Linked DNA regions of Arabidopsis thaliana. The protein of the gene in region 1 interacts with the protein of each later gene in a pairwise test. Each region holds a gene or a part of one and is shown on either strand. Other genes may lie near its edges.

The links.
Region 2: the proteins of TED6 (region 1) and IRX3 interact in a protein complementation assay, tested with the Arabidopsis thaliana proteins (one study listed by BioGRID).

Annotation. Positions count from the first base shown.
Region 1 is NC_003070.9:16,573,950-16,577,060, forward strand, and holds TED6 (tracheary element differentiation-related 6), read left to right. Parts: upstream 1-1,809; 5' UTR 1,810-2,002; coding exon 2,003-2,353; 3' UTR 2,354-2,592; downstream 2,593-3,111. UniProt on the Arabidopsis thaliana protein: Involved in the secondary cell wall (SCW) formation of vessel elements (e.g. protoxylem and metaxylem), thus promoting tracheary element (TE) differentiation.
Region 2 is NC_003076.8:5,736,072-5,743,557, reverse strand, and holds IRX3 (Cellulose synthase family protein), read left to right. Parts: upstream 1-2,057; 5' UTR 2,058-2,150; coding exon 2,151-2,225; intron 2,226-2,627; coding exon 2,628-2,823; intron 2,824-2,952; coding exon 2,953-3,231; intron 3,232-3,485; coding exon 3,486-3,579; intron 3,580-3,673; coding exon 3,674-3,940; intron 3,941-4,021; coding exon 4,022-4,367; intron 4,368-4,454; coding exon 4,455-4,718; intron 4,719-4,795; coding exon 4,796-5,008; intron 5,009-5,087; coding exon 5,088-5,301; intron 5,302-5,396; coding exon 5,397-5,593; intron 5,594-5,683; coding exon 5,684-6,037; intron 6,038-6,117; coding exon 6,118-6,699; 3' UTR 6,700-6,928; downstream 6,929-7,486. Other genes in the region: BBM (Integrase-type DNA-binding superfamily protein), read left to right, coding at 1-2, 133-209, 292-1,016; AT5G17410 (Spc97 / Spc98 family of spindle pole body (SBP) component), read right to left, coding at 7,143-7,266, 7,396-7,486.

The DNA.
Region 1 (3,111 bases):
TTGCTTCATACATGCTTGGTACACAATTCTTCTCATTCAAAAATATCACCTCATGCATCATGAGCTCATCCGCTTCATGTGTCTCTTCTTTGTCATGTTCTTGCGTTTCCTGTAGCTTTAACAATCGATCAAGACATGTTGAAGCGTAGTGACCTAACTTGTCGCATCGGAAACACATTACTCTTGACGTATCTCTTCCTCCATATGAACGTCCACATCCTCTCCCTCTTTCATATCCTCTTCCTCCTCGACCTCTGCCCTGGAATCGTTTCCTGGATCTCGATTGTTTGAGTAACTTCCTTGAGAATCCATATTTGAATACAGAAGCTTGCTTTGGTCTTCTTGAGGATCATCTCCATCAAAAACATGCACGTTCTTCATATACTTTCAGCCGACCAACTATGTCATCAAAAGTTATGGTGTTAAGATCTAAGACTTGTTCTAGTGCAGCTACTATGTGAATGTATTTTCTTCGTGGAACACTCTTAAGAAACTTCTTAACAAGTCTTGATTCTTCAATAATTACACCTAAAGCAGCTGATTTTGCTGAGATCTCAGATAACTTGCCAGCAAAGTCATATATTTTCTCAGAATCCTTCATTGTTAATCGGTCAAATTCGGCCATGAGGGTTTGTAACCTAGCATCCTTGACTCTCTCTACCCCCAGATGTCTTGATTTGATTGCATCCCATACTTCTCTTGCTGTATCAAGTTCTCCGATTTGTAAAGCTAATGCTTCTGGGATTGATTGAAACAACAAAGCACAAGCAACATCACTCTTATCTTCATCAAACGGTTCTGTCACCTTGTCTATCATGTTCCAAGCTTTATGAACCTTTAGTGCCCTCTTCATCCTCATGGCCCATACCGTGTAGTTGATAGCGTTTAGCATAGGACATTGGATTGAAGAGGATCCACTAACTTCTTTCGTTGTTCTAGCTGCGGGAACGATATCACTCATTTCTTCTTATGATTGATTCAATAGCCTCACGCTCTGATACCAAATCTAGAGTTTAAGAAAGATTAAGAACTCAAAATATAAAGAATTACTCTCTTTATTACTTTAGGAAAATAGCTCAAAACCTAAAGCTCTCAATCTCACAATCTCTCTCAAAAGCTCATAAGTTATACCACACATTGGTATCTCCTTATATAATAGAGATTCAACATTATCCTAATCATTAGATAACTCCTAATGAATATTCTAGATAACTCCTAGAATTACAAGGAATTCCTTTTCTCTTAAATAAATAAATGACTTATTACTTAAGTCTTCTTCAAGCTTAATCCAACATATATTGCCTTCTTGGTGGGATAACATAGTTCAAAATACCGAGTTATTCATTGTTGGAATGACTGGTAGAGGTGAAGTTGTGTTGTCACCGTACTGTCTAGTACTAGAACCATGTTACATTGATTAATTCAACCTCGAGAGGAGGAGTTTCACAAGAGTTCAAATACAAGGTCTTGAAGTGCTTATAAGGGTACGAGAGTTTACACTTCTCTAGACTATGCTGAGAATTTGAAACTTATGTAGGGTTCAAATCTTATTTTTAAGCTTTTGTCTAGTTTTGGATAAAAGAACAAAATATCAAAAATCTTTTGTATGTTCATATATATTTTATTTTTTTTAATTAATATTTCATTACTTTTCTTTAGTATATGGAGTATTTTTATGAAACAAGAATTGTGAGAATTATGAATCTTACCTCTTACAATTCTTACATATTTTTGGATTACACCAACAAAATAAGATATTTTGAGCTGAGTGCCTGTTTTTCTTGGCTTTTACTCTTTTTTTTTTTTTTTAAACATTCTAGGTTAGCTTAACAAAAACAACAAGCAAACAAAACCTTAGGATGGGAGTTAAGTCATTACAAACTTAGCAGCAACCTATACTCTCAATACTCACTACAAATAAGCCCCATGATTCTCCATCTTCCTCAAACCATTTCCACCTCAAGAAATAAATCATCAGAGCCTCACACATCAAACACAAGTAATGGCCTCCACGGATTCAGTTTACCGTCCCACACCAACTCCAGACCATGACACTACTGTTGTAGTAGTTGTGTTTGTTTCTTTGGGTTGTGTCATGTTCTTGGCGTTTCTAGCGTTTGTTATCTGGTTCTTGATCAAGAAGAGATCCAGGAAGCACCGTGAGAGATCTGAAGCGGTTCGCGTGGATGAACACTTTAAGATGAAGGAAGCTATAGTCGAAGGACCTAATGGACAAAAGTCTGTGGTGTTATCAGTTGAGGATGATGTTAAGATCGAAGACGCGATCAAGAGAGAAGAGAAAGATCTGAAGAAAGATGGTGGAGTTGGATCATCAGTCGTTTCCCGTTCGTGAATGAGCTTTCTTCATTCATAATGTTACCTATCTATTTATTTATATTAAAATTGTGGTTGTGTGTGAATCATTTGTTTGGTGAAATAAAAAAAAAGCATCTGAAATATTTATTTAAATTCTTTGGACAAAGATGGTTCTTCAAACTTGGGTTGGTGAATGGTGATGGTTTTTATGTTCTAGGAGCGAACTTTTATCTCTATCTCTCTAAGAAAAGTAATCTTTCAAAAAAAACTGTAGAGAAATAAAATAGATAGTTGTTTTTGGTTAAAACAGATAATTTGTAACTGTAACTCGATAAGAATATTAATTAAAAAAAACATACAATGTCAAATGAAATCATACTTAAAATTGGACATTTTTCTATTTGAAAACTTGGTATTGGTATACTAACACATATACCATGTTAATCTTCTCATTATAGTTCTACTTAATATTTACCAAAACAAAACAAAAAAAACAATTATACGTATTTAATTAACAAAACAAATACATTAATTCTGAAGATGGAGAAAAAAATTGTGTCTTGATAATGCTAACTTACCAAGTCTCCATACATGATAAGAAAATTACACACACATATATATATATATATATAAATATGTCATATATAAGTTTATTTTTGAGCTAAATCTTCAAAAAGTTTCTATTGTAATTTCTAAGCTTAAACAAAAATTGATACATTCATTGTCTAATACTGTTCTGGTTGAATTCAATTTTATATTCAATTAAAATTAATATTTTCTTACCAAACATCACAT
Region 2 (7,486 bases), on another chromosome or scaffold:
AGGTACGTATAATCCATCTAGATATGGAACGAATACAGTGTTTCATTATTTTTTTTGATGTATACATAATAATTGTCATACAATACTATTAATCTAATCTAATTAATATTTCCTTTAAAATGGTTCCAAAAGGCATCACCAACATGGAAGGTGGCAAGCTAGGATCGGAAGAGTCGCCGGTAACAAAGACCTCTACTTGGGAACTTTCGGTACATTTTCCAATAAAATCTATATACTATAAGATATTAAATATACACAAATATATCTAAGTGAATCATACAAATTATGTAGGCACACAGGAAGAGGCTGCTGAGGCTTATGACATTGCAGCCATTAAATTCAGAGGATTAAGCGCAGTGACTAACTTCGACATGAACAGATACAATGTTAAAGCAATCCTCGAGAGCCCGAGTCTACCTATTGGTAGTTCTGCGAAACGTCTCAAGGACGTTAATAATCCGGTTCCAGCTATGATGATTAGTAATAACGTTTCAGAGAGTGCAAATAATGTTAGCGGTTGGCAAAACACTGCGTTTCAGCATCATCAGGGAATGGATTTGAGCTTATTGCAGCAACAGCAGGAGAGGTACGTTGGTTATTACAATGGAGGAAACTTGTCTACCGAGAGTACTAGGGTTTGTTTCAAACAAGAGGAGGAACAACAACACTTCTTGAGAAACTCGCCGAGTCACATGACTAATGTTGATCATCATAGCTCGACCTCTGATGATTCTGTTACCGTTTGTGGAAATGTTGTTAGTTATGGTGGTTATCAAGGATTCGCAATCCCTGTTGGAACATCGGTTAATTACGATCCCTTTACTGCTGCTGAGATTGCTTACAACGCAAGAAATCATTATTACTATGCTCAGCATCAGCAACAACAGCAGATTCAGCAGTCGCCGGGAGGAGATTTTCCGGTGGCGATTTCGAATAACCATAGCTCTAACATGTACTTTCACGGGGAAGGTGGTGGAGAAGGGGCTCCAACGTTTTCAGTTTGGAACGACACTTAGAAAAATAAGTAAAAGATCTTTTAGTTGTTTGCTTTGTATGTTGCGAACAGTTTGATTCTGTTTTTCTTTTTCCTTTTTTTGGGTAATTTTCTTATAACTTTTTTCATAGTTTCGATTATTTGGATAAAATTTTCAGATTGAGGATCATTTTATTTATTTATTAGTGTAGTCTAATTTAGTTGTATAACTATAAAATTGTTGTTTGTTTCCGAATCATAAGTTTTTTTTTTTTTTGGTTTTGTATTGATAGGTGCAAGAGACTCAAAATTCTGGTTTCGATGTTAACAGAATTCAAGTAGCTGCCCACTTGATTCGATTTGTTTTGTATTTGGAAACAACCATGGCTGGTCAAGGCCCAGCCCGTTGTGCTTCTGAACCTGCCTAGTCCCATGGACTAGATCTTTATCCGCAGACTCCAAAAGAAAAAGGATTGGCGCAGAGGAATTGTCATGGAAACAGAATGAACAAGAAAGGGTGAAGAAGATCAAAGGCATATATGATCTTTACATTCTCTTTAGCTTATGTATGCAGAAAATTCACCTAATTAAGGACAGGGAACGTAACTTGGCTTGCACTCCTCTCACCAAACCTTACCCCCTAACTAATTTTAATTCAAAATTACTAGTATTTTGGCCGATCACTTTATATAATAAGATACCAGATTTATTATATTTACGAATTATCAGCATGCATATACTGTATATAGTTTTTTTTTTGTTAAAGGGTAAAATAATAGGATCCTTTTGAATAAAATGAACATATATAATTAGTATAATGAAAACAGAAGGAAATGAGATTAGGACAGTAAGTAAAATGAGAGAGACCTGCAAAGGATAAAAAAGAGAAGCTTAAGGAAACCGCGACGATGAAAGAAAGACATGTCATCAGCTGATGGATGTGAGTGATGAGTTTGTTGCAGTTGTGTAGAAATTTTTACTAAAACAGTTGTTTTTACAAAAAAGAAATAATATAAAACGAAAGCTTAGCTTGAAGGCAATGGAGACTCTACAACAAACTATGTACCATACAGAGAGAGAAACTAAAAGCTTTTCACACATAAAAACCAAACTTATTCGTCTCTCATTGATCACCGTTTTGTTCTCTCAAGATCGCTGCTAATCTCCGGCCGTCCCTATGGAAGCTAGCGCCGGTCTTGTCGCCGGTTCTCATAACCGTAATGAACTAGTCGTCATTCACAACCATGAAGAGGTTTTTCACATTTACTTTTTCTCATCACTTACCAAAGTTTTTTTTTACCAACGCTAGTAAAATATTATTGCATTTTTTCGTTTTATTTGGTTACTATTTTTTAAAAATTCGTATGTTTTGGGAATAAAAATATGATCATTTTTTAAAATCATCTTCTTATTATGAGACAAAAATTTATAATCTGTATTCTGTAGTTGCAATAATGTTGTAGAAAATTCATATCTTTGTTAGCAAACATAATAATTTTGTTGGTAATATTAAGTTGAGAAGTCAGGTTTAACCATTTTAATCGCTGTCATTTTTTTTATTATCTTTACTTCATTAGAATCTTTTTTTGTTGATTAGAAATTTCAGGTTTTATTTCGTCTTTAAGGAACTTAAACTTTTGTGTAATTATAACAGCCAAAGCCTCTGAAGAATCTAGATGGACAATTCTGTGAGATATGTGGAGATCAGATTGGTTTAACAGTAGAAGGAGACCTCTTCGTAGCTTGCAATGAGTGTGGTTTTCCGGCGTGTAGACCTTGCTATGAGTACGAGAGAAGAGAAGGAACACAAAACTGTCCTCAGTGTAAGACTCGTTACAAGCGTCTCAGAGGTAAGTTATTTATTAATCTCCCTCTGCTCTTGTGTTGTTCGACGAAATGCCTCTATGAAAATTTAAAAAGGCTGTTCCTTTTTTTAGTTTGAACTTGGAGAGTAATGATCTGTTTTTTGGTTTCTGAAGGAAGCCCAAGAGTGGAGGGAGATGAAGACGAAGAAGATATTGATGATATTGAGTATGAATTTAATATCGAACATGAACAAGATAAGCATAAGCATTCTGCTGAGGCTATGCTTTATGGGAAAATGAGCTATGGAAGAGGTCCTGAGGATGATGAGAATGGGAGATTCCCACCTGTTATAGCTGGTGGTCATAGTGGAGAATTTCCAGTTGGAGGAGGTTATGGTAATGGAGAACATGGGCTTCATAAGCGTGTGCACCCATATCCATCATCTGAAGCTGGTGAGTCTCATGGAAATGTTAACTTACATATAGATTTAAGAATGTCTCACAGTGATGATTAGTTAGGGTCATGCATATCTCCATATGTGCAAATAACATAAGTATGAGGCCTTCCAGCTTAATAGTAGATAGGGACATAGTTTCATAAACATGGACTTTGGGTTCTATTACATTCTTTCTATGAAATTCATCAGCAGACCCTTTTTCTAACAATACTTTCCTTTTTGTTTATGTGTGTAATTTTAATGTGGTAGGGAGTGAGGGAGGATGGCGGGAAAGAATGGATGACTGGAAGCTCCAGCATGGAAATCTTGGGCCAGAACCAGATGATGATCCTGAGATGGGACTGTAATGCCTCCACAAACATTTATCTAAGACATCAGTTTTGTATGATTTGGATTCATGCTTACAAAATTTTGGATTTGACTGGAAATGGCTGTAGGATCGACGAGGCACGGCAGCCACTCTCGCGGAAAGTTCCCATTGCCTCAAGCAAGATCAATCCATATCGGATGGTCATCGTCGCTAGGCTTGTGATTCTAGCAGTTTTTCTGCGGTATAGGCTCTTGAATCCAGTGCATGATGCTCTGGGATTATGGCTGACCTCTGTGATCTGTGAAATCTGGTTCGCTGTCTCTTGGATTCTTGATCAGTTCCCCAAGTGGTTCCCTATTGAACGTGAGACCTATCTAGATCGGCTTTCCCTCAGGTAAAATCCACAGATTCTCAAGTAGAAGTCTTAAAATCTATGACGTTGGAGTTTGGATGTAAATATTTTTTGTTTATACAGGTACGAGAGAGAAGGTGAACCAAATATGCTTGCCCCTGTAGATGTCTTTGTCAGTACGGTGGACCCATTGAAGGAGCCTCCCCTCGTCACATCCAACACTGTGCTGTCAATCTTGGCCATGGACTACCCAGTTGAGAAAATCTCCTGCTATGTCTCTGACGACGGTGCTTCAATGCTTACATTCGAATCTCTCTCGGAAACTGCTGAGTTTGCAAGAAAATGGGTTCCCTTCTGTAAGAAATTCTCCATAGAGCCACGGGCACCGGAGATGTACTTCACGTTGAAAGTTGATTATCTCCAGGACAAAGTCCACCCAACATTTGTTAAGGAACGTCGAGCCATGAAGGTCAGTGTATATCACCTGATCTAGTTATACCACCACCCATCTTTTCACTATAATCTAAACTTCATAAGTGAAATTGACATATGACAGAGAGAATATGAGGAGTTCAAGGTCAGGATCAACGCTCAAGTGGCGAAGGCCTCAAAGGTTCCTCTAGAAGGTTGGATCATGCAAGATGGAACACCGTGGCCAGGGAACAACACCAAGGACCACCCCGGTATGATCCAAGTCTTCCTCGGCCACAGCGGAGGATTTGATGTCGAAGGGCATGAGCTTCCTCGGCTTGTGTACGTGTCCCGTGAGAAGCGTCCTGGTTTTCAACACCACAAGAAAGCTGGCGCCATGAATGCCCTGGTAATTTTCTTGATCTGCCTTGGACCAAACAAGAAACTGATCTCCGTGTCTTGGACCTAACCTGATACTTCTGTCAGGTTCGAGTGGCAGGCGTACTCACAAATGCTCCTTTCATGCTGAACTTGGACTGTGATCACTATGTAAACAACAGCAAGGCCGTGAGGGAAGCAATGTGTTTTTTGATGGATCCTCAGATTGGAAAGAAGGTCTGCTATGTTCAGTTCCCTCAAAGGTTTGATGGCATTGACACAAACGATCGTTACGCCAACAGAAACACAGTCTTCTTTGATGTAAGACTCAATTCATATTTTTCCAACTTCTGGTCTAAATGAAAATGTACCCTCTTGCTTACACTCTTGTTTGCTACAGATCAATATGAAAGGTCTAGATGGAATCCAAGGTCCAGTTTACGTTGGTACTGGTTGTGTTTTCAAACGACAAGCTCTGTATGGTTATGAACCACCAAAGGGTCCTAAACGTCCAAAGATGATAAGCTGTGGTTGTTGTCCTTGCTTTGGGCGCCGGAGAAAGAATAAGAAATTTTCCAAGAATGACATGAATGGTGACGTAGCAGCCCTTGGAGGTAAATTATCCCAACAACCTTATAATATCAGTCCATTCTTGCAGTAGATTTCGTTTATGTTGGAATCTTGCGGATCTGATAGTGTTTTTTGGCAGGAGCAGAAGGTGATAAGGAGCATTTGATGTCTGAAATGAACTTTGAGAAAACATTTGGGCAATCATCCATCTTTGTAACCTCAACTTTGATGGAAGAAGGTGGTGTTCCTCCGTCATCAAGTCCTGCAGTGCTCCTTAAAGAGGCAATCCATGTCATAAGCTGCGGTTATGAAGACAAGACTGAGTGGGGAACTGAGGTAATAATACTGAATCGTAGAAATCACCTTCTTATTTGTGATTTAGTAGCTGGCCATTGTAAAAAACGTTTGTGTATCTCGAAATTGCAGCTGGGTTGGATCTATGGCTCTATCACAGAGGATATTTTGACGGGATTCAAGATGCATTGCCGTGGATGGAGGTCTATTTACTGCATGCCTAAGAGGCCTGCATTCAAAGGTTCAGCTCCTATTAATCTATCAGACAGGTTAAACCAGGTTTTGCGTTGGGCACTTGGATCGGTTGAGATATTTTTCAGCCGGCACAGTCCTCTCTGGTATGGCTACAAAGGAGGCAAACTCAAGTGGCTTGAGCGTTTTGCTTATGCCAACACAACAATCTACCCCTTCACATCTATACCACTTCTTGCCTACTGTATCCTTCCAGCCATCTGTCTCCTTACTGACAAATTCATCATGCCACCGGTTAGTAAAATTATCAGAGAAAAGCACTTAGAAGCTGCATCAAATGTGCTAACTATCTGTTTTCCCAATTTTTCTTTCAGATAAGCACATTTGCTAGTCTCTTCTTCATCTCACTGTTTATGTCGATCATTGTAACGGGAATCTTGGAATTGAGATGGAGCGGAGTTAGCATTGAGGAATGGTGGAGAAACGAGCAATTCTGGGTCATTGGAGGAATCTCAGCTCATCTCTTTGCGGTTGTCCAAGGTCTCCTCAAAATCTTAGCAGGCATTGACACAAACTTCACCGTCACATCAAAGGCAACAGATGATGATGACTTTGGAGAACTTTACGCATTCAAATGGACAACACTGCTGATCCCTCCAACAACTGTCTTAATCATAAACATTGTTGGCGTTGTTGCAGGCATCTCAGATGCCATTAACAATGGATATCAGTCTTGGGGACCTCTATTTGGTAAACTCTTCTTCTCCTTTTGGGTCATTGTTCATCTCTACCCATTCCTCAAAGGTCTGATGGGTAGACAGAACAGAACACCAACCATTGTGGTGATTTGGTCAGTGTTATTGGCATCTATCTTCTCTTTGCTTTGGGTAAGAATTGATCCTTTTGTGCTCAAGACCAAAGGACCTGACACTTCCAAGTGTGGCATCAACTGCTGAAGCAAAATCTTTTTCGTCTTCTGAAACTTTTTCTGTACTTTGTCGAGAGTGTTTTCACTTCTCTCTTTGGATTGCATAATTGGATTTTGTTTATTGTATATTAGCCAGTAAAACAGATGGATCTGGGTTTATTGTGAGCGAGTAATGCATTGTAAGAAAATTTGAACAAAACTACTTTTTAGTTACACAGTAAAAGATTCACAGATACTTCCCTCAAGAGACATGTAGTTGCAGTGAAAACCCACAAATCTTGAATGCAAATTTTTAACAGAGAGCCTGAGACTTGTTCTTATATCGTGGAGTTCACAAACAAAATAAAGAAACGACAACAAAAGCCTAAACACACGCACACATCTCATAACAACTTCTCAAGCTGAATATCATTTGATAACATTAAAAAACAAATTGAATTGCCTGAGTTTGTTTAGTTAAAGTCTCACCTCTTATTCTTTCGAAACACCAAGGATCCACTGGGAGAGATGAGTCAAGTATGGCTCAGCCTGGGAGCCTTTGCTCAAGACTGGTCCTAAGCTCTGCAACTCCGAGTTGAACTCCCTTTCGAAATTGCTGGTAGAACACGTAACAGACATATTAGAACAATACCGTGATAATGAAGTTCAAAAATTCTAACAGCAACGGCTTTTGTAGAGATAGTGTAGCCATTAGTTTGAAAAACAATTCCTTGTTACTACTTACAATATGGACTCTGTAACGGTTGTGTCTCTTATCATTGTCTTCTGTGGATGAGACTGGCTATTGATGTCGATAGACGATGATATCAACCACT